Linked DNA regions of Drosophila melanogaster. The protein of the gene in region 1 interacts with the protein of each later gene in a pairwise test. Each region holds a gene or a part of one and is shown on either strand. Other genes may lie near its edges.

What was found.
Region 2: the proteins of opa (region 1) and Mst84Da interact in a two-hybrid assay, tested with the Drosophila melanogaster proteins (one large-scale study listed by BioGRID).
Region 3: the proteins of opa (region 1) and sol interact in a two-hybrid assay, tested with the Drosophila melanogaster proteins (one large-scale study listed by BioGRID).
Region 4: the proteins of opa (region 1) and CG6996 interact in a two-hybrid assay, tested with the Drosophila melanogaster proteins (one large-scale study listed by BioGRID).

What each region holds. Positions count from the first base shown.
Region 1 is NT_033777.3:4,850,172-4,856,458, reverse strand, and holds the start of opa (odd paired), read right to left. Parts: upstream 3,647-6,287; 5' UTR 3,354-3,646; coding exon 2,405-3,353; intron 1-2,404. UniProt on the Drosophila melanogaster protein: Transcription factor essential for parasegmental subdivision of the embryo. It is involved in the activation of wingless (wg) in odd parasegments.
Region 2 is NT_033777.3:7,363,253-7,367,396, reverse strand, and holds Mst84Da (Male-specific RNA 84Da), read right to left. Parts: upstream 1,548-4,144; 5' UTR 1,465-1,547; coding exon 1,426-1,464; exon of another isoform or gene 1,371-1,425; coding exon 1,218-1,370; 3' UTR 1,135-1,217; downstream 1-1,134. Other genes in the region: Mst84Db (Male-specific RNA 84Db), read left to right, coding at 1,892-2,116; Mst84Dc (Male-specific RNA 84Dc), read left to right, coding at 2,868-3,035; Mst84Dd (Male-specific RNA 84Dd), read left to right, coding at 3,781-3,999.
Region 3 is NC_004354.4:21,347,646-21,353,903, reverse strand, and holds the start of sol (small optic lobes), read right to left. Parts: upstream 3,625-6,258; 5' UTR 3,296-3,624; coding exon 3,054-3,295; intron 2,270-3,053; exon of another isoform or gene 2,143-2,269; coding exon of another isoform or gene 2,138-2,142; intron 2,045-2,137; coding exon 1,419-2,044; intron 1,152-1,418; coding exon 239-1,151; intron 1-238. Other genes in the region: peng (penguin), read left to right, coding at 4,153-4,598, 5,200-5,902, 5,971-6,258. UniProt on the Drosophila melanogaster protein: Has a role in eye development. Calcium-regulated non-lysosomal thiol-protease.
Region 4 is NT_037436.4:20,205,266-20,211,203, reverse strand, and holds CG6996 (uncharacterized protein), read right to left. Parts: upstream 3,671-5,938; 5' UTR 3,580-3,670; coding exon 3,576-3,579; intron 3,339-3,575; exon of another isoform or gene 3,337-3,338; coding exon 2,246-3,336; 3' UTR 1,604-2,245; downstream 1-1,603. Other genes in the region: CG7017 (uncharacterized protein), read left to right, coding at 1-521; CG7290 (uncharacterized protein), read left to right, coding at 5,203-5,206, 5,278-5,938.

The DNA.
Region 1 (6,287 bases):
TTCGATCAGTTCGAGCTGCTACAGTGGCACCATTTGGGCAGATCTATATCGGCTGGATCCATAAACACGTACTTGACTGCCCTGCTCCGTTTTACTCACCCACTTATCAAACTCGGACCCCTCACCCGTCCCATCGGCGAGGAGTGGAAGCCAGGTCGTAAATAACCTTTGCATAATCTAAATCAAAAGCTTAATGTAGCATGGCGAGTAACCCAAACAGAACAGCACAGAAACAATCGCAGCGCAAATAAAATAAAGCTAGAGGAGTGGAATGCGAATGTGCGAATGCGTCCAGTAATCCGGCGAGTGTTACCCCAATTTCGGTTTCGATGGCTTTTTTGAGAGGGCCAGCACGGAGTGCCTCGGAAGCATTTCCGAGCCATTTCAAACGGAAGTTTTGACACGTGTCAACACAGTGTGTTCGAGTGTGTTTATTTGCCCTGGGTCGGCGGTGTCAATGCAATAAAAACAAACACCAGTGCCAAGGGACATTTAGCCGAGCCAGCGATGCTGATTGAATTTTTGATTTATGCGGTGTGGAGGATGCTACTTCAAGTGCCCGAGTCGTATGGAAAGGTTAAAGGCCCCGATCCCAGCCAGATACCAGACCGATCCCAGCTCGATCCCGATCCGTAATGAAGTTGTGCGCCGGCCACTTGAAAGCTAATCAATATGTTGGCTATCTCCGACAATGTGTAGCCAGGTCAACCAATCATAGGCACACACAAATCAGTCAGAGGTCCTAAAATGCACTTTTCTGCTGCATCACGGCGGAGAAAAGAAATATGAAATTAGTCAAAAATATCATCATACAGCAACCAACTCATTATAATGCCACATGATTGTTCCAAAATCGAACACAATATGGCGGCGTCTCGAAATCAAATCGAAACATTTTAATTACCTTTCGATGAGTGTGCAAAAGAAAATACTGTTGTCCGAACAGATTTACAGAAATAGCTTTTTTGTGTGGCTAATTCTGTGATTTATGAATTTCTTTGTGAGTTTATAATCGCGGTAACTACAAGATGAAGCTATAATGAAGCCCGACGTCTTATTTTAATTCAATTTGGAATCATGAGGCCAAATTACAAAATAATAGAAATAAAGAGGCAACAACAAATGCCAAAAGCCAACATTAAAACAACAAAATATAAGCATGCTGGATATTGCGGAATATTGCTGGCCATATTTTCATTCTTCTCCTCCAATTTCCAAGTTAATTACGCCAAGGCTGAGGTCAATCAAGGATAATCCAGGACCAAGCGATATTTGCTGGAAAGTTTATTAACCTGATTGGCGCTCTTTTCACCAATTATGCGAAACTTTGTTTTGTGTTTTCGCATTTCATGTTTGCTTTCCCAACTTCCACTTGTTAATTGATTTTAATGGCTGTGTTTCGCCGCTTCTAATGAGCCCTACATGCTCAGCCATAAATTTCAATGGAACAAGTTCAACAGCCACTGGAATCAAAGTCATTAATTTGCGTTAAGCTCCGTTTCTGGCTTTATAGTTCGACTTCTCATAGATCACGACTATACCGCATAAATTGTATTTTAAAGCCTCCAACTATGGCTATGTTTTTTCAAAAGTGTTCAGGCTATGAGCTGCAAAGCGATTTTAATTTATTTTTGAAAGACAATTGAAAGAGAAATGCTTGAAATGGGCATGATTAATGATGGATTTAAGAAAAATTAATTATATTGAGAATTTGCATAGAGCGGTTGGCTATCAAAGTAATAGTAAGCCATTATTATTAAATAATACAAAATCTGAAGCCGACAACAAGGCTTAAAGTATAAAAAACAAAGGAGTAGCTAAACTAAATTTTTCAGTTCCTTTACAAATTTGACCAAGTTTCCAAACGTAGTTAAATACATGCCAGTCAAAATCCAAAGTCAAGAGAAGTCGCAGGCTTAGGGAAATACTAAGACCAAAAGTCGAAGTCAACCTAAAGCCGTAGAGTAATCCTAGCCGTAAGGACAACATCTTTGCGGGATTTTCTGGGCGCGGAAGAGCTTTGGGCGCAGGTTTTACAGGTGTCATAAAAGATGACCCGCCCGGCCAGTGGCGGGTTAAGCCAGGTAGTGGGCGTTGCAACGACTTTTGCCGTCGGTAACACGCTCACATCGACAACGTCCGGGATTTGCCCAGGCGGGCAAGGGTTATGCCCACGCAAGGTGAATTCTAAGAGATTGCAGACCTAGCATGTGCTATTCTAAATATAAGCGGTTAAAATCTGCATAAGGCTTCGACTTTCTATTAGTATTAAGATCTTTATAAAACAGGAATAATTACACACAGAATTTGACTGCCAAACCAAAACTAAATAAAAGTATTTTCTTAGTTTAATGAATGGTTTAATATGGTTTAAATATAAAGCGGAATGCACCGCCACACTTACCTGTATGCGTCCGCTTGTGGATCTTGAGGTTCTCGCTCCGGGCGAAGACCTTGCCGCAACCCGGGTGCGGGCAGGCGAAAGGTTTCTCGCCGGTGTGGACGCGGATGTGGTTGACCAGCTTGTACTTGGCCTTGAAAGGGCGTCCGTTGCGAGAGCAGCCCACCCAGAAGCAGGCGTGGGTGGTGCACTCGGGTCCGCCCACGTGCTCCACGGTCAGGTGGGTGACGATCTCGTGCATCGAGTGGAATACCTTGTTGCAGGTCTTCCTGCCGCCCGGGGGCACCAGGCCCGGCTGGTCGGGGTCTATCCAGAGGCACTGCATCTCCTGCTTAACGCTGGAGGCGGACGAGGCCGGCTGATGGCGCATGTAGCGCAGGAAGGCCCCTGCTCCGGCCGGGTGCATCGCGGACATGGCGTGGTGGGACGGGTGGTGCACGACCGGGTGGTGCACTGCCGCCGTCGGGAAGTTGCCGTGGTGGTTGTACGGGTGGCCGGCGGCGTAGGCATCCGCCATGCCCATTCGCATCTGATGGTGGTGATGGTGGCTGTGGAAGGGGTGTTGTCCGAACCCGGAGCCCAGCTCCGCGGCCTGAGCGGGAAAGCCGGAGAAGAGCATGGAATCCGCTGCGGCGGAGGCCTGTCCGGCGGATCCTGCCACACCGTACTCGGCCTCCCTCCTGCCCAGCAAAAAGTCCCGGGAGGCATAGCTGTTAAAGTGCCCATATCCGGAGTTCTGATAGGCTGCAGCAGTGGCCGCCGCGGATTCCTGATCCTGTTGCTGTTGCTGCTGCTGTTGTTGCTGTTGTTGCTGCTGCTGTTGGGTCATCTCCAGTTGCTGCTGCTGTTGCTGCTGCGCGTTGCTGTTACTGGCGGTGGTGTTGGGCGACATTCGCAGCCCGTAGCTGGCCAGGTGGTGCTGAGCCGGCTCAATGAAGGCGTTCATCATCATGGTTACAGTGTTATTGCTCGCTTATATGTTTTTAAAATTAATTCAGAAAGAACTGAACTACAAGTTTTCGATTCGCACTTTGCTAGGCCAATGAGCCCATCACGCACTGAGGTCACCTCACTTAGCTGTATATACTGTGCGCTTATTTCGCTCTTAGATATTTCGCATGCGACTTGATACTTATTTACGTAATGCACTCGCGCGCGATGCGTTTCTGGGGCGTTCGAATCGCAGCAAGACTTGACGCTAACCGAATGCCAAGACTTGACGTTTCAAGATGCGCAGCAGGACTGAAATGCTCCTGAAATTCTAACTCGCTGCTGTGTTGCCTCGTGAAAATATCTGCCGACGATCGCATGCGTGCGAATGGGATCGACCTATGCACGACGTAAAATGAATAGAGGGTAACGAAAGCGCGAGTGCGAGCAGGCCAGGCGTATGACCTGCCTGTGGTGAGTTGCGCTTGCCATGGTGTATTCGGCACAAGCCACCACTCTGTCGGATAGGCCTGAGCCATGGGTGCGAGTGCGACAACTCTAAGAAAATGGCCGCCTCCTCGCATGCTCCAGAGTCGGACAGAAGAGCACAGAGGCTGCGCACTCAGTCCAATTGGAACCCACCCGACCATAGCGCCCTCTCGCTCGGCAAACTGGTTTCGCGAAAATTAACACCCACTGCGGTTGGCCATTGGGTGGTGGGCCGACAGCGTGCGGCGTGCGCCTGTGCAGGGGGCCCAAATGCTGATTGGACCGACGGGCAGCCAATTGAAAGCTCGCGGGGATGCATTTTCCAGCCCGCTCCTCATTGTCACGGCGGACGAATAGCCCGCCACTTCGGGTAGCCCAGCTGTCAGCTTATCAAATTAGTTGTTTATTTTATTGATTTTAATGATATTAAGCACATTCCGTGCTCGGACATCGGAGATTTCCAGCCGTTTTGTTTAGGTTGCGCCATAAAGACGTACGAGATTTCATTAGCGCCAAACGCTCTGTTTTTCATTTGCTAATTTATGGAATTTTCAATAAGCAGTAGTCGAATCAATACATAATCTTGTATCAATCGACTTGATTGGATTCTGCTGAGTGTTAAGTGCCCCGGCAAAGTGGCTTTTGGGGCAGACTGTGAAGTGATACTTCGCCTGCATAGGGCAAAAATGTATAAATTTATTTTCATACAAAACATTTGCTTTGTGATAATATGGTATAACACTATGCTGTATGTATATAGTCAGACGCTCTTCTCAAAATATATGATTTTTTCTATTTACAATCCAAAAACTGAGCGATGCAAAAGGAAGGTCGTTAACATCAAAATTGTCTTCGTTTAGTATTCGTGTTTTGAACTAGTCCTCATCTGTAGATAATTTAAGGTTGATATGTAATTGCTGGCAGAGTATTAAAAATTGCTTAAGCTTTTAAAACGATAATAATTAAAATCAAATTGAATTTGGATATATATTGAGTAATCAAATTTTTATTCAAAAACAGTATTTTCTAATCAAATATATTGCCCTGAATTTATCGTTTGAGAAAACAATATTTCCTGGTAAAGTTTAAATGAGAATGAGAGCAAGAAAAGACCATGTGATTCCATGCTAATTACCTTGATTTCCGCAATGAATTAATTGGGGCAAATTGTGACATAAAGCGTCACCGCCAAGCGGTTCGGCTATTAAATTGTCAAAACAACTCAGCGGCAATCAGCAATCAGCGGACGGCAATCGACAGTCCATAGTCGTCCGAATGTCATACCGACCCCAATGCCATTTTGGGAGACGGGCAAGACCATAAAGCAGCGGAAAGTGCACCGAGCTGGCAGGCACCCAGTCCCGCAGAGCTCCAGCGACAAGTGTCACTCGAAATGAAGCCATTGCTCCATATCGATGATGGAGGATGAGGACGAAGCCGCCGGGTTGGAGCAGATGATGGGCTGCAAACGGAGCAGTCGGCTGAAGTGGATTTCTAGCGCACTGCCATAGAACTACTCCCATAAATAATGCCGTACGAGCCACTTGAAAATGGAAGCGCAAAATGCAATAAACTCTTAATAACAAAAAAGGAGCGGGGGAAACAATCTCAGGCGCTAGCAAACAAGAAATTATAAATTTAAAATGCCCAGATAAACAAAATGCAAGTTGGCCCAGCAGGTTGCAGCTTCTGTTGTTGTCTGTGATTCAAGAGGTCCATTTTGGACTAGACCGAATATCCACTTTCCAATGCAGAAAACGAATTTAACGACCCAGTCAATCATTCCAAGTTCAATAGAAGCTCTGAAGATCCAAGTAACATCAAAAATCTTGTAGCTTTTGCGATTTTTTAATTATCTTCCTCCATCATAGCCAACCATATGTTTTATAGTCGAGTTCTTTTAAGCCCTGATTATTTGCAATCCGTCGTGTTAGTAGACGTATTCATATTTTGGTGTCGATTTCACCCCTAAAAGCAGCGGACTGAACCCTCAGCTGTGCTTAATCAGTTTGGCCACAACCAAGTGGGCAACCAACCGGTGGGCGTCGGGGACAACCTGGGGACATGGCCGCGTGGCATGGGCACGGACTCATCAGAGTCAGAGCCGAAATCAAAATAAAACCGTAACCTGGCGTGGACGCCTTTGGCACATGCCGCGATCACAGCGGTGAGCACTGTACTGGTCTTTTGCCAGGGGTTCGCATGAGACCCGGGATTCCAGAGCCGAGACTCAAGATTCCAGTTCCAGTGCGGGATGGAGAGTTCCGTGCCGAGCCCACAGAGTGAATGGCCATGGTGCGAAAAGGCAGGGAGGGGTGTCAACGGAGTGATGTGGGAGCGTGGGAGTTTCCTGTCCAACTGGTTTCCTCGCGATTTCCTTTCATTGCTTCTATGCCGATTAATGTGCTTCAACAAATGGAAGTAAAGATGGAAAATGTTCAGATAAATATTTAAGCGAGCACATGAA
Region 2 (4,144 bases), 2.5 Mb from region 1:
TCCTGAGTTACCTTAAGAAAAATTCAATTAAAACTAAACTTTCTGGGAATCCCTGGAATTGCGACTGTAAGTCGAGATCAGTCCTTTCCATTTTGAGAGATCACGAACCCCTTGAGTATGACGTCACGTTGAAACGTTGCAATATATCTCCAACGGATTGTCCAGATGTTTGTGTCTGCTGCTTGGATAACTTGACATGGCCATCATTTATTGTCGATTGCAGAGGAGAAGGACTTCTACAGATGCCTTCACTTTCAAGCAGGGTTACCTATGTGGACCTAAGGAATAACAACCTTACGGCCCTGTCACAGAAGAATCGTTCTTCTATCGAGAACAGATCGTTAAAGCTGCATTTGCTTGACAATCCCTGGTCTTGTTCTTGCAACGATATAGAAAAGATAAATTTCATGAAGAGTGTGTCTTCAAGTATAGTAGACTTCACTGAGATAAAGTGCAGTAATGGTGAGAAGCTAGTCTCGATTAATCAGCATATTGTGTGTCCATCTGACCTCTTTTATTATTTGGCACTCGCGATCTCCCTAGTGGCCACGATCATTGCCTTAAACTTTTTGATATGGTTCAGACAACCGGTCCTGGTCTGGTTCTATGAGCACGGTGTGTGTCTCAGTCTGTCAGCCAAGCGGGAACTTGATAAGGACAAAAGGTTCGATGCCTTTCTGGCGTTTACCCATAAGGACGAGGCTCTGCTGGAGGAGTTCGTGGATAGGCTGGAACGTGGTAGGCCCAGGTTCCAACTCTGCTTCTACCTGCGAGACTGGCTGGCGGGCGAATCTATTCCCGATTGCATTGGTCAATCTATAAAGGACTCGCGGCGCATTATTGTCCTCATGACAGAGAACTTTATGAATTCCACTTGGGGTCGCCTCGAGTTCCGACTGGCCCTCCACGCCACCTCACGCGATCGGTGCAAGCGTCTGATAGTGGTGCTCTATCCAAACGTGAAGAACTTCGACAGTCTGGATAGCGAGCTAAGGACCTACATGGCATTTAACACCTATCTGGAGAGAAGCCATCCGAACTTTTGGAACAAGCTGATTTACTCGATGCCGCTACTACCAAGCTACGTTGACTAGGACATTACATTATTAATTTCAATAAGAAACAAAAATATATAATTTGTTGTCTCCCACACAGTTTATTTTTTGAGATTTACATAGTTCCCGGAAGTATTCCGACAGGTTTCCGGGTCAACTGGTTTAGCAGCAAGGACCGCAACCGCAAAAACTGCTGGTGCCGCCGCAGCAAGGTCCACATCCTCCGCAAGGACCACAGCAGGGGCCACACCCACCACAGCAGGGGCCACATCCACCACAGGGTCCGCATCCGCCGCAGGGGCCACAGCAGGGGCCCTGATAAATCATATTAAAAGTATTCACTCGACTTACGAGACCGATAAATACATACCCCAACCAAAACGTAATTCGGGTTGACGTACATGTACATGATTTTGTTTCTTAAAAGATATTTCCCAACCGGAATCGAAAGGAACCGAAAATTTAGGTGTTAACTATTGAAGGTGGAACGGAGAACTGACTGAATGTGATCCAAATTAGCCGAAGCTTCATTTGACAGCAGTCATGAGAATTTCAAGGCTAATATGATCCGACAAATTATATTCATTATTATTATTATATTCTGGTATCCCAAAACCCATAATCTAGTTAGCTATGGATATTTTCGACAGTTGTCAAATTCATATACCAACTTGTGAGTCAGGTTTCCATCATTCTTATTTTGGTTCTCGGCCTGTAATCATCGAAATATTTTTTCGTCCTAAGTTATTTCTTTGTTAGGTTCAAAGTGAGTATTTCTCAAAGTGTAAGCATGCGAAGTTTTAACAAAATTTTTCTTAGAACTTTACGGAACCATCATGTGTTGCGGACCCCTTGGATTCTGCGGACCCTGTAGCCCGTGCGGCGGTCCTTGCGGACCTTGCGGACCCTGTGGTCCTTGCGGTTCCTGCTGTAGTCCTTGTGGATCTTGCTGTGCGCCTTGCGGCCCTTGCGGTCCTTGCGGTCCTTGCTGCGGGGGCTGTGGTCCATGCGGGCCTTGTGGACCTTGCTGTGGACCTTGTAGGCCATATTGCGGGTGCTGAACAACAACCACAACATGTAAAATATCTTTTTCCTGTGAACCACAAAGTGGAACTTAGGACTGAATGCGGATAAACTCTTCTTAGCTCGCGGGCCTAGTCAATAAAATAAGAATTTCAAAATACCTTTTCCGATGGTTTTTCTCTTCTAAATGGTGCAACCTTTGTCTTAGCTATGGATACCAAATGCGTGACAATAATAATTTATGTAATATAATTGCGAAAATTAAAATTGTCAATTCTTGGTGGATTGCGATCGTTAGAGGGGGCGGAGGAACATCCTACGTTCATATCGACTAGGCTTGTGATCCAGCTCAAGAATAAATAACCTTTTCTTCTATTCACTATAGCATAGCTATTACTCTACGAGTGGCGGGTATAAAACCTGCAACCGTGAATTTAAACCTCATTCAATAATAGTATTTGTCTGCAAACGGACAAATGTCCGATAACAATAATTCTATAACAATAATAACTATTTTTAACCATCAACCGCTGTACATAAACATAATTCGAATTCATAGTAGGCTATGGAAATCGTTCTTGACCTGTCAGACCCACCTAACCTTGTAAGTTCGGAAAATATATCATTCTCATCTCGACCCTTGTGCTGCTCGCATCAAAATTTTGTTGTTTTGTCCCAAATACTTGTTTTTTTTTTTTGGCTTCTAAAGACCGTTGGTAAAAATGTTTATTGTAAAGTTAAAATAGTATACATATTTATTTCGTTTATTTTAGACTTCTCGAATTAATCATGTGCTGTGGACCTTGTGGATCGTGCTGCGGATATTACTGCTGTGGTCCCTGCTGTGGACCTTGTGGACCCCGATGTGGGCCGTGCGGATCCTGCTGTGGACCCTGTGGACCCTGTGGACCTTGTTGCGGACCATTTGGCAGTTGTTGCGGTGGCTGTTGGTGCTAAATGCTCGCAATTGGCAGCCGAATCGATTTGTGAAACCATACCACAATCCCACCATGGTTAAACTAACACCTGAAAGTTAAAAGCCACAAATATATATATATGTATCTTAATGCAGATCCATGTTATCATTGGGATAGTTCACCATTGCTCTTACTCGGCGTTACTCGTTGACATAATAGGAATGCGTTTCGTAATATGTATGTGGGTGTAGGTTTCTTGATCAGGAACACTAGCCGGATACTAAGCGAGCAGATTGTATTGCGCTGCGAGCACAAGTTGCTATATGGAAATGGTTGAGACGTTCTTGGTAATACCATTTTATTTTACACGAATGACGTCTCAAGGTGATTGATTCTGCCTTCCGACGAGCTTCACTAGGACGTTCTTTGTTGTTCCCATCTGGATCAGTTGTACTGCTTGCTACGGCAGGACATTTTCTTAAGCACGTTATTGTAAAATTCACTAAAGAACAAAATTAAATTCCTTTTAGGGCATTGATATAAAATTTTTATTAATTTTGCATTTGTTTATTTTAAATCTAGAAGGCTTTGAATCTATATTCTACTTTCCTGTGCAAGTTCTATGTAAGCAAACATCAGTTTTCATCTTTCCCTTAACCCAAGAACATCAAAATTTGAGCTCTTTTCCAAGCTTTTTAGGTTCAGCACTTTGTACGTAGTTTTTTATTTAAGAAAATTGTTGGTATAATAGCTTTTCTTTTAGTTCTCAGAAATTAAAAAAAAACATGGGCTGTGCACCGGGCGGACCTTGCTGCGGACCCTGTGGACCGTGTTGCGGACCCTGTTGTGGACCCTGTTGTGGACCCTGTTGTGGACCCTGTTGTGGACCTTGCGGGCCCTGCTGTGGCCCCTGTGGACCTCGTTGTGGCCCTTGCGGACCCTGTGGACCGTGCTGTGGCACTATGGAAAAACGAAATGGCCTTCAGCGGTGCTGTCCTTTTTAGCTGTGATTTCCCGAATAAGCAACCAAACTGTGTCCAAAAAAAGATTTCATTAGTCTATTGTGACAAATAAAGGGGAACTATGAAAACTATCAAATTAATGGATCTTAGCAGGGAGCCAATGTAATCATTGCAATTTCATTCATTC
Region 3 (6,258 bases), on another chromosome or scaffold:
TCATTAATTTAAATCATGCCCATAAACAATTTGCTTAAATAATACAACTGAACTTATAGCGGGCAGAATAAAAATAAAAGCTGGTGGACGGGCGAAATACAAACAGAAGGCCGCAGTGACTAAGCGCCACGCAAATTATCAGCAAAAATAAAAACGTAGCCAACTGATAAGCTTCTGCGGGGGATAGGAAGTTGGATGGGTGTGGACTAATCTCGGTCGCACGCTAGCTGCCAATTACATTTTCGACTCGGTCGCCTTGCGCGGTCCCTTCCACACTTTGGCGTAGATGGAGTGCTCCTCCACCTGCGACTCGGATTCGCTGGCCTCGCCGCTGCCATCGGTGCTAGTGCCTAGTCCGGCGGTAAGGGATTCACTGACCGCATCCGCGATCTCGCCACTGCCAGTGTTGTTGTTCGTTTGCGATTCGCTGGCAATCTGTTGCTTCTTCTTGAGCTTGTGCTGCTTGTTCACCTGCGCATAGATGGGCATGGTAGCCGTTGGAGCTGGTTCGGCCATAGCCTTAGCTGATGGCGAACTCGCAATGGCCACCGCCGTCGCGGCTGCCTGTGCCGCCTGCGCAGCAGCTGCTCTTAGTTGCTGCTGGGCCAGGGCCACGCATTCGTTCTCATACAACTTGTTGCTGCCGCTGGAGCTGCTGCTGTTGTTGTTGATGATGTTGCTGTTACCGCTGCTATTGCTATTGCTGTTGCTGTGATGGTGATGATGATGGTTGGAGCTAGAGGAGACGGAGGAGCTGCTGGCCATTGGCTCCGACCACTCGTTGACGGCTATGAAGACGCCGTTCCGCGGAATGGTGAACTGCGTGGGATTCATACTCACTGCTGCTGGCTCCCGCTGGGTTTTCCGCTGCAGCTGCTGCGGATTAGCCGGTGACTTCTGCTGCGGCTCCTGCTGTAGATTCAGATTTAGATTAACGACCTGACGCAGTGGCTTCATTTGGCCATGGCCGGCATCCTTGGCCGCCGACCGAGAGAGCGTGGTGATGGTAAAGTTGTACTTCCGCTTGGCACCGCTCTCGCGAACCACCTTGTGATTCTGGTTCTTGTTATTGTTGTTCTGTTTGCGCCTGCAAAAAGTGTCGTTGGCGATGGCAAAACGGGAGTTGCTGCAGGCGGCCACGGGGGGAATCCCTGCGAGAAACACATAGGGATTAGAATTGGATTATCGGATAACAAGTGCGTGCATTCCGGTTATGGGAAGCTAACACTTTCATCATGATCTGACTAAGATTAAGAACTTTACAAAAAGAGAATAGACTTTAAATAATTCGGTTGTCCATTTAAAGAGTTTCTTCTAGTAAAAATTTGGAAACGATAGGCTGGCCAATAAGAATACCTTATAGTTATTTCCTCAAGTAACCTTTAACCTTTCATTAGTTCGTTAGCTGATGAACGCACCTGTCAGCTGCGGCGCCGGCTTGATCTGCGGCAGATTGAAGATGTCCTTGCTCTGGTTGTTCGCATAGCAAATGTGGCAGCTGCGCCCGGAAGCGCTCTTGTCGATAGCGGTGCTCAGGCTCTGGGTGCGGCGCAGTCCAGAACCCGAGCCCGGTCCGGATCCCGATCCGGATGCAGATCTACCTTTGAGGTGGCGCTTATGCAAGTGCTGGGAATGTAACTGATGCTGATGCTGCTCCTCCAGTTCCTGGTGGAGGTAGTGGTGATGATGATGTGGATGTGAATGGTCCGCCGCCAGCAGCTCGCCGCGATTGCCCAGGCTGCCAGCCAGATCCTGGCCTCGGTCGGCGGCGATGGCGTCCTTGTAAATGGGCGCCAGATAGCTGACCGTGTCGCAGATGAGGCAGTGCCAGGTGACCGAGCTGTTGTCCGTGCCGCAGGCGTGGCACACCCACCGCCGATTCAGGGCCGGATTCGAGAAGTGGCGGTACAGCTCAATAGAGCTCTTGATGTACTTGCGCGTGTCCTCGCAATCCACGCAGTTGGCGGGCAGATTCTGGCTGTTCCGCTGTGGTCTTTTCAAGCATCCGCGCAGCAGGGACTTGTACACATGCTTGTACTCGCTCCTGCAAAATAGGGAAATGGGGTTTTTCGTTTTTCGTCGGGTTTGGATGGGATTCGGTGTTCTTGAGCTGTTTGGGCTTTCCCCACTTCCTGACCGCAAAGGTTATCTCAATGACTGGCCATTTTCCTACTCTCCGCTCGTCCGCTCGACTCGGAAGTTGTTCCTACACCTCTTTTGCTCTTCAGATCGCCGAGCGAGTTCGCGAATCGATAAACTTGTAAACAATGCTTCTTTATCCAAATCGATTTTCCCCAATTCTCGCTGCTCCTCGGCTGTTTTGTTGTTGCTTCTGCCTCTGCTGTGTATACATGCTCTCACATACACACACTCGCGCACACACACACACACACACACACACACGCTCAGGGACAATCACCAGTGCCGACGGCTTGGCTTTTAAAGCTAGACTTTTGAACTGTGTACTTGTACACACTGTACCTTTTCCTAGCCTTTCGAAACTTAAGTTCGTAATATAAAAATCTTTCAACTTATTCCTATACTCCCATTCGAGTTATTCCTATGGATAGTTAATCAGGATTTTCCTAACCGATTTCATTGTTTTCTTATTCTTTAAGTTTCATTATGCACAAAAGGGTTAGTGAGAACTATAAAATTTACTAAGATTTACTCGGTCTGCTCTTTGGATATTAAAGTTCAGCATAGGAGCTTACGTTGGTAAGCTTTTGGTATTATTATTCTTTGAAAGTTAAGGTTTTTGATTGACGAATTTTACCGATGAAAGTATGTACATATTTGTGTATTTGTATATTTTCCAAAGTGTGCATACAATGTGTGTGCGAAAAAAGTTGGATTTGAAAACGCCACCGATTTCTATACACATTACCATATGCGACATGATTTTAGCTAGCGCTTTTGTCCTCCAATTGGATGCCACCACTGGCGCCCACATACACACACACACACACGCATACAGACACAGACACACACAGGCACATCCTCGCAGAGGAGGCATACAGGCTGTTTGTTTTTGTGGCGACCGCTTCGCTTACCTGGCAACCGCCGCCCTGCCCTTCTCCTTGTCCCTCTCCTGCCCCTTCTCCGCCTGCTCCTGCTCCAGTGCATCATCAGCTGTCCAGGAGGCGGTGATGCTGCTGCTGCGATGCTGCTGCTGCTGTTGTTGGGGGAACACCTTGCGGACGGTGCCGCAATTGAAGCACTTGAGCGACTCCGTGGGATTGATAGTGTTACATTTGGTGCACGACCACTGCAGCACGGATGAGATGGTGCCCATTGCGCGGGGGAGTCGCAGGAGTTCCCAGATTCCTTTCGACTTCTGAGTTGTTTCTCTTGCTGTTGTTGTTTTTGTTGTTGTTGGCTGGCTGGCGGGGGAGTGGATGTGGAACTGGGACTGTCTATGGAAACTATGATGTGTAGGTGCGCTTTCGAGCTGGTGGCCGGGCGGAGATGGAGATCAATAGGAGGACCAGAACCCGGGACCAAAACGAGGACCAAGCAGTGGCTTCCAACAGTTGCACGCCGCGTTCTCCGTCGCCGTTTCACACCATTTTTTAACTGTTGCCGCTAGGGTTGTCGACGTTCGCGAACACCTCCAACGACAAGGTTGCCCGAGTGCGTGAACTCTGCCGGACAGGGTTGCCAGCGCGAGAAACACGGCTGCTACCCCGCAAAGCCAGTGTTGGCAAGTGCCGTTAATGAAAAATCGGTACCTTCAATTTTTAGACCAATTCTAATATGTTTTTGGGAATGAATACATACATATATTCATAAAACGACGCAAATACATGCATAAAATTATTTGACCTTCTATAACAAGTAATCAACATTGAGGAGCTTAGTTTAGGAAGAGTTTAAATTTAATATTTAGACATGGATTATTATTTTTTAGCCGCTTTCAAATGGAAAGTCAAATTGAACTGAACGCATTAACTTGAGTTAAATTTTAAACAAATAGAAGCACTTCATTGATACTTACTGTATGTGGAACGAAAATACCAGATTTTGGTATTTACACAGCTTGGGTATACTGCAACAATCTGGTCACTCTGCATCAGCAGCACGTGTAGTTCGCTTTTTTGGCAAAAACATTTGCTGTTATTTAGTTGTAGTGTCCAAGAAAACGCAGCAAAGATGGTTAGCTCGGAGCCGAAAGGACCTGCTAACGTGGCCAACACGGCCTCGCCCCTCAAGGCCCATGAATCGTCCGGCAAGCGCGCCAACGGACAGAAGTTTAAGCCCGGTGGAGCAGGAGGCGCCAGGAAGTTCGACAAATTCGGCGGAGGAGCAGGCAAGTCGTTTGTAAAGCCAGGCGCTGGTGGTGCCAAGAAGTTCGACAAGTCTGGGCCCGGTGGCTTCAAGAAGTTTGACAAATCCGGAGCCACCGGCGACAAGAGGCTTGGTGGCAACAAGTTCCGCGGAAAACCACAAACACAGCCACAGGCGCCGGCGGAGGGCGAGAAACAGGACTGGAACAAGTTCAAGAAGGAGAAGAAGGACCTCAAGCTGAAGCGCAAGAGTGCCAAGGACACCTACGAGATCAGCAAGGAGGCCAACCAGATCCACGAGAAGTTGCGATGGTGAGCATCCCCAAAAACACGATGAACAGCCCAAACAATCGGTTATTATCATCCTTAGCGCTCAAATTACCTATACAAATTATGATAGCTCAACAAAATCGGGCTCTTTCATGCACTTATGTACATTCAGAACGTACAAAGTTGTTTAAATTTCATAAGGCATCAATCTATACGATATAGTTTTAATAATTATAAGTCATTTTGGTTCCTTAAAGGACAAGATATCGATAAACATGGCCATGTGGATCCCAAAACGAAGCACCTGTTCGTGGAAAAACCGAACATTGCCACTTGGTTCGAATTCAAAAACACCAAACATTTTATTCATGTTCTTGAAACAATAATAGCTAGTTAAGCATTTTGATCAGTATCAAAACTAAGTTAATATAGCCTTGTATTTCTGTATAAATGTTGAGTTAGAACCAAGAGCGTAGATTCCAAAGACGCCTATTTAGCGCATGCTGTTTTGTTTGGTCATAAACAAACCAGCTCTATCCTCTGTCGCGTTTTTTTTTTTTTTCGTAAAATTACAACTAATGAATGCGCAAATCCTATTGCTCTGATATATATATATCAACATAATTTGGTGCTTGTCTTGCAGCCGCCGAACGGAGAACAAGGACAAGCTGGTGGAGCAGATATACAAGGTGCTCAACGTGGGCGACACTATTTCAAAGGTGGTGAAGGCCCACGACACCGCCCGCGTGATCCAGAGCATGCTAAAGTACGCGTCGCCAGCTCTGCGGGCCGAGATCTCTGAGAAGCTGCTTCCCTTCACCGTGGAGATGTGCCAGTCGAAATACGCCCAGTTCTGCGTGCAACGGATGCTCAAGTACGGTGCGCCAGCCACCAAAGCCAAGCTGGTGGACAGCCTGTACGGACATATAGTGCGTTTGGCCGGACACAGCATCGGCAGTGGGCTGCTGGATTCGATGTATCAGAGCGCCACACCCAATCAGCGCATCTATATGCGCCAGGAGTTCTACGGCGATCTGTACCGGAAGGCCAAGGATTCGAATGTGAAGACTCTGAGCGACACCTATAAGGAGGCCACGAACATGAAGGCCTCCATTTTGGGGTCGGTTAAAGCAAACCTGGATCATGTGGCCAACAAGCAGCTGGTGGACAGTGCGCTGGTGCACGCCGTGATGCTGGAGTACCTGCGCGCCTGCGACGAAGATGAGGAGAAGCTGGAGGAGACGGTCACTGCGTTTGCGGCTCTAGTGCCTCACATGCTGTCCACCAAGGAGGGCAGCGAGGCGGCTGTTATATGCTTCTACAAGTCGACGCCCAAGAATCGCAGAGTAAGTGGATCACGTATAACGTGTGTTGATGAAACAGAATCTTATATGTATTCTAACCCCTTCTTCAGGCCATTATCAAGAATATCAAGGAGCACCTGCTAAAGATCGCCAACCATGAGCACGGCCACGTGTTCCTCATCTCGCTGCTAAACGCACTGGACGACACTAAGGCGACCAAGAAGGCAATTTACGATCACCTACACGGAGATCTAAAGGCGCTAATGAGCAGCCCGTACGGCCGACGAGTGATTCAATGGCTGGTGGCTCCGGGTGATACGACATGCTTCCATCCAGAGTTCATTCGCACGGTGGAGGAGGGTCTAGCCTTTGGAAAAAAGGAGAAGGAGCTGCGTCGC
Region 4 (5,938 bases), on another chromosome or scaffold:
ACTACGAGTGCGTCAGCGAGGTCTTGCACAGCCGAGCCTGTCCAGTGGCCAGTGCCTACGATGCTAATCTCGGCTACTGCGTGGATGTGGCTGAGGTGTCCTGCTACGAGAGTGCCGCCCTGCCGGAACCGGAAAACACCTTCTGCCTGGACAGTGCCACCGGATCCGCTCGCGTTGGCTACTTTGCCGACGACGAGTCCTGCTCCCACTACTATATCTGTGGCAGCCCCGTCGCCGGCAAGCACGACACGGAGCCCAAGCACCTGAGCTGTCCACTTGGCCAGTACTTCGACTTCGAGAAGCTCTCGTGCCGCGACAGACTTAACGTACGCTGCCAGCTGGACAGGTGTGTGGGCACCAACATCACCTACGTAAACGTCGCCGGCGATTGCCAGAGCTATGGACGTTGCTCCGGCGGAGTGACCGTCAGCCTGGGCCAGTGCCCAACGGGCTACTACTTCGACGAGCGCAACCAGGGATGCACACAGACCAACTACCACAACATCGCATGTTCCGTGTAGGCTGTCCCAGAAGATCGCATCCTTACCACAATCCTTACCAAATCGCATCCAATTTAAATATCCAATAAATCGATCCAATTCATGGTGGAGGTCAAATGCATTGCTTGAAAGGAATTCATGTACTTTGTGGTGGGAAGTGTTAAGTTTTATGACATTCATCCATTTACTTTTTACCATGGAAATGGGTCTACAAATATTAGCTTCTCGAAAAATGTCCAATAAATGTGTTACTCCATTGAAACCTGAAATGTATATATATATAGTTTATCCATTGCATTTGGCTCTATTGTAGTTTTATTCCCTTTCCATTCGAATTTTACCGTCTGCTTCCTCTTTATAGAAGATGTTACCCTAACCTTGAACAATAAAATATGAATTGGTATAAATAATGCTAGAGAAATACTATGATTTTTTGGACTGATTTTTGAACTACATTGGCGGAAATGTTCATTAGCGAAACGAAGTTGGCGTGATAAAATTCTTCTGGCAACCCTTTTGATATCAAAACTGCGCCACACAACGATTCATATTTGGCAATCTGTTTTCGTGACACTTGCAGTGCCCAAAAAATTATCAGTTTTAATTAAAATTGTACCCCAGTGGAGGGTTCGGAGAATTTCAAACCGATTCCAGATAGTCCAGATAATGAATTCGCTACTCGGAGCTGCCGCGATCGCTTATTTCCGTGTTGGCCATCAGGCGAGCAAGAAGTATCCAACGCCCAAGGGTCGTTTTTGTCTATCACTAATTAAATTCAACTATTAGGGTCGATGTTACCCATTAGGTCCACAAATATTGTATGAGTGTGAAATGCAAATGAAATGCATCGACGCGCTTTCGTTCTCCATAGAAATCAATTATGTCCACTTTAAGAAGGAAGTTATACAAGTCCACAGGGCGGATGATTGATTTGTATGTAGGAAAGGTCAAGTATTCAAATGACAAACGGGGCAACTTTGCAGCCTCGCTATAATGTATTAGTATTTATTGATCATAACAAATAACGATAACAAATTCCGAAAAACTCAATAATATAAGTTATCTTGTTATGACACCTCATAGACATATGTACATGTACATATATGGTGCCTAATGAATAAAGTGGTTTGAATAATCAACTTTGTAGTACGATAACTTCGTACTTTTCCATTCAAATCTCCTATTGCAGTTGTTAAAAACGGTGATATCACCCATGTATGGGCCATGAATGGGATCCAATGGCTACCTCCCTGGTACTTTCCCATCGCCAAATTTCCAAGTGGTGTTCTTGAGTATGACATCACGGTTTCACGTTACCGAGTGTCTTGCTCGGCAATCGATTCAAGGAAATCTTGGCCCAGAGGTGATCTGGTAACTTAATCGTTATTGCGCCTGATTACACCACTTATATTTATTGTATCGGCGTCGAAAAAACAAACTGTCTAATTAAAACTGATTGCGTACGTCGCTCACGAGACCAAAATATTGCTGATAGTGCCATTCATCAGCCGACGTTTTCTGGCAGGCGGGATAAGATTATATTATGGCTCGGATGGTTCACAAATGAGTCAACTTTTAATCGTACAACTAAGCTTTTCGAAATAATCTTTTTATACCTAAATACATTTGAAAATTCAGATGTTTGTATTGTGATCAATTCCACGAAATCTAAACAAAGAGCTGATCTATAATTTGTATGGGACTTGGGCCTGATAACAGCACTACTTATACTTATGAGGAGCTGCTCACGACACCGGGACCGCAATGGTGGTGCTAGTGATGGTGCTGCTGGTGGTGGTGGTGGTGCCACTTGGAACTTGGGACCCGGTGGTTGCCTCCGATATCTGACAGGCGGTATATGATATGACCTGGGTGGTGCACCGTTGGGTTATTTCGTCGAAGTACTCGTCCTGCGGACAAGTTCCTTGGCCAATGACGATGCCATCCTGGCAGATCGAGTAGCCCCTGCAGCCATCATCCGACTCGTTGGCCAGCTGAATGGTGGAATTGCCCAAGCCCACGCATCGATCGTAGCCGCATTTCACCTTGGATCGCGGGACACAGGCTCCGCCATCGGTGGCCAGGAAAAATCTTCCATCGGAGCAGACGCCATGCTCCAGCGAGAACTCTCCATTGCCCAAATCCTTGCAGTAGTAGTAGCCATTGCAGGTCTTGTTATCCGATATAAATCCACCCGTCTCTGGACATACACCCTTCTTGCTAATATCTGGCACTGGGACGAAGTCACACTCCACATTCTGCGGATAATCGCACTGGGCCGTGGAGGCCTTGAAGTAGAAGGTGCCCGGACAGGTTCCATTGATCACCTGGCCATCCCAGCACAACTGATAGCCATTGCAGTTGTCCGTGTCCTTGACGAAGACCCCATCCGGCAAGATGTTGCAATAGCTATCCGGGTCCATTTTATTCGAGCACGGAAAATCGCGGATGCAGTCCTGCGTTCCCGAATTGAAATTCATCCCAGTGTTGCACACTCCGTGCGTCCCCTTGCCATCCTTGCAATAGTAATAACCATTGCAGGAGTACGGATCAGCCGCGAATCCGGTGGGCAGAGCAGCGCACGGATCACTGGACAGACACTTGATACTACTGGAACTCAGGCATTTCTGGCTCTCCCGGTCGTAGAAGAGTCCAGTCGCACAGCTACCACTCACAGGGCTCCCATCGATGCACTGAATCCACGCGTTGCACGCCCGAGGATCGTTCATCTTGGTTCCGTTGACCACCAAGCTACATATTAGAGTTGCATTGAAGGTCAGGGCGCCTGATATCGTGGGGATCATGATGAGTCCGGAAATGAAGGCGAGCTTTGTGTCTGTTTTGCATAAAAGGGTATAAGTACGATATTCGAAATAAGTTGCAAGTGAAGTATGCTTTCAATTTCGATTTAAATTGCATATTTTTTTTTCAATAAATGTTTGAGTTTTCGTTATGAACTTCTTGAGCCTAAGTCTACGGTTTTCTATATTTATATCTGTCTATGAAATGGTAATTCTTCTCGAAACAACAATATAGTTACTTCGATGGATATCTGCTAGTGCCAGAGATACTCACCCATCTCGAGTTCAGCAAACTTTTAGTATTCCAAAGATACAAGTACCTCTTAACGGCTAACGAGGAAAAGAACGTCTAACTGGATGCCATCCAAGTTCGCCAATAAATACAAATCGAAAGACAATGCTTATGCCCTCGCTACTTTTGGGTTTTCCGAAAGGTCTGTAAATTTTGGAAGCTCTAAGTTAGTCTAGAACTGTCTTCAGTGGCTAAAATGGACGCATGACGTATTCATATTTCACTTTTATCAGATTCGGTTAAATCCAAATTTGACAAGTGATAAACTTGGCCAACGCCGGTGCGCAGTTCATTTAAAACCCAATTTGTTTTTATTTTTGTCAACTTGTGCGGTCATACCTTTGGTTTTTTGGTAGTATTCGTTGTCGAATTCGTATCCGCTTGTTTATAATTACTATCTTTAGATTGGGTCTAATTTAATTTATTACACATATAGTAATTAACTTTATTTCAAAATCAAATGTTATTATGTTTATCGCCTGCGATCTGCTGACTCAGGTGCACACGACATTATGCTATTAATAGTCCACGATGACCGATTCTTACTGACATACATACTTATTGAGATTACTGTTTAAAATTATACATTATTGTGAAATTATTTACGATTAAACTAACTTTATGAAATAATCTGCCGATCGTCGGTTTTAATTGTACCTGATAGTCGTAGAGTAAATGAGTGTACAGAGTGTTCGTTGAAAGGAAAGATACTATTGTATAAGAATATAGAAGATTGATGTGAAAATTACTTGGTGTATAGGTATGCTACAACAAGTAAACCACATATAAAAAATCTAGTGTCCTTGAACTCCCTTCAAATGAGTACTGAGTATCTTAAAGTCGAGGAACTACACTAGCTTACTTGTTTTTTTAAAGTCAATTGGGCTTTACCACATAAGTCCAACTTTTCTGTTCCGATAGTAACAAATATGTCTAGGAATCGCCACAATTAGTCAATATTATTAAAAACAAAGTGTGTGGGTTTTGCCATATAATATGTAGGTAATTTTAAGCTAATTTAGATTACTCTAATCTCATTTCGTTTAATTGATTTGTTTGAAAAAAAAAATAGAAAGGACCATATTTGGAGAACTTCTTGATATGGTACTACTTGAATTATATAATTCGGTAAAAAACTCATTCAAATTTAATCAAGTATATACATTTGGTTAAACAATTATAACAATTATAAAGTCGTTAGCTTTAAAATGCGAACTCTGTTATAAGTTTAGAGCACGATGTAATTCTTTATTGCTCTTTTATTTACACATTAACTTTTTAATATTCCAATTATAGAAACGCAGTCTAAAAAATACATTTGAGTTAATAAAAAGAACCCAAATTTCTATCCGTCTGAGTTCTGGGAAAGTTCTTATCCCCACAAAAACTTTGTTGACTTGTCAAAATGGCCATCGATCATGCAAAAATGGTTCGTTGGCTTCGCTTGCGATACATCACAAAATGGGTTCCTGAGCTGAAGGGTCGTCGATCAACTTGGACAGCCCAGCGGATCGAAGATAACTCCTGGCTGGACTGCAAATAAAAGCCCAGGAAGTCCATCAACCAGAAACAGTATTCAACTAGGAGCCACCAAAAGAAGAAGCAAATAATGGGTGGGTATCGCATATAAAAGTTCGAAACAGGAAAAATTGGAACATCATATGAATATATTCAACGCTTCCAGGTGGACAAAAAGCAACCATCCTCGCTGCCGTGGCGCTGGTGATCGCCTGTGCCGCTCCAGCAATAGCCGATGTGAATGTCACCGCCTTGTGCCTGCTGGTCAGCAATGGGAACTACGTGGCCAGCCAGTCGGACTGCTCGACCTACTACCAGTGCCAGGGATCCTCGTTCACGGCCATGTCCTGTCCCCAGGGCTACTACTTCGACAAGAATGCCCAGCAGTGCACGGGCACTGTGCCGAGCACCTGCACCAGCAACTCCGATCCCTGTCTGGGCAAGGCGGTGGGATCCTTCGCGGCATCCAGTTCGTCCTGCGGCGGCTACTACTACTGCGGAGCCTCCGGCGCTGTGAGGGGCAATTGTCCTGCCGGCGAGAACTTCAATCCCACCACAATGGCCTGTGTGTACAAGAACAACTATCCATGCAGCGAGTCCGCCGGTGATGGCTCCACTGTGTCGGTCGCCCTCAACCTATGCAATCTTGTCAAGAATGGCTTTTACTTTGGAAGCCCTTCCGACTGCAGTGGCTGGAACTTCTGCCAGGACAACGTTCTGCACTCGGGATCCTGCGAAGATGGTCTAGTATTCAATGTGCAGGCCAGCAACTGCGGCTACAAGATGGCCTCATCCTGCGCCCAGGTCACCAATGATCCATCCCTGAC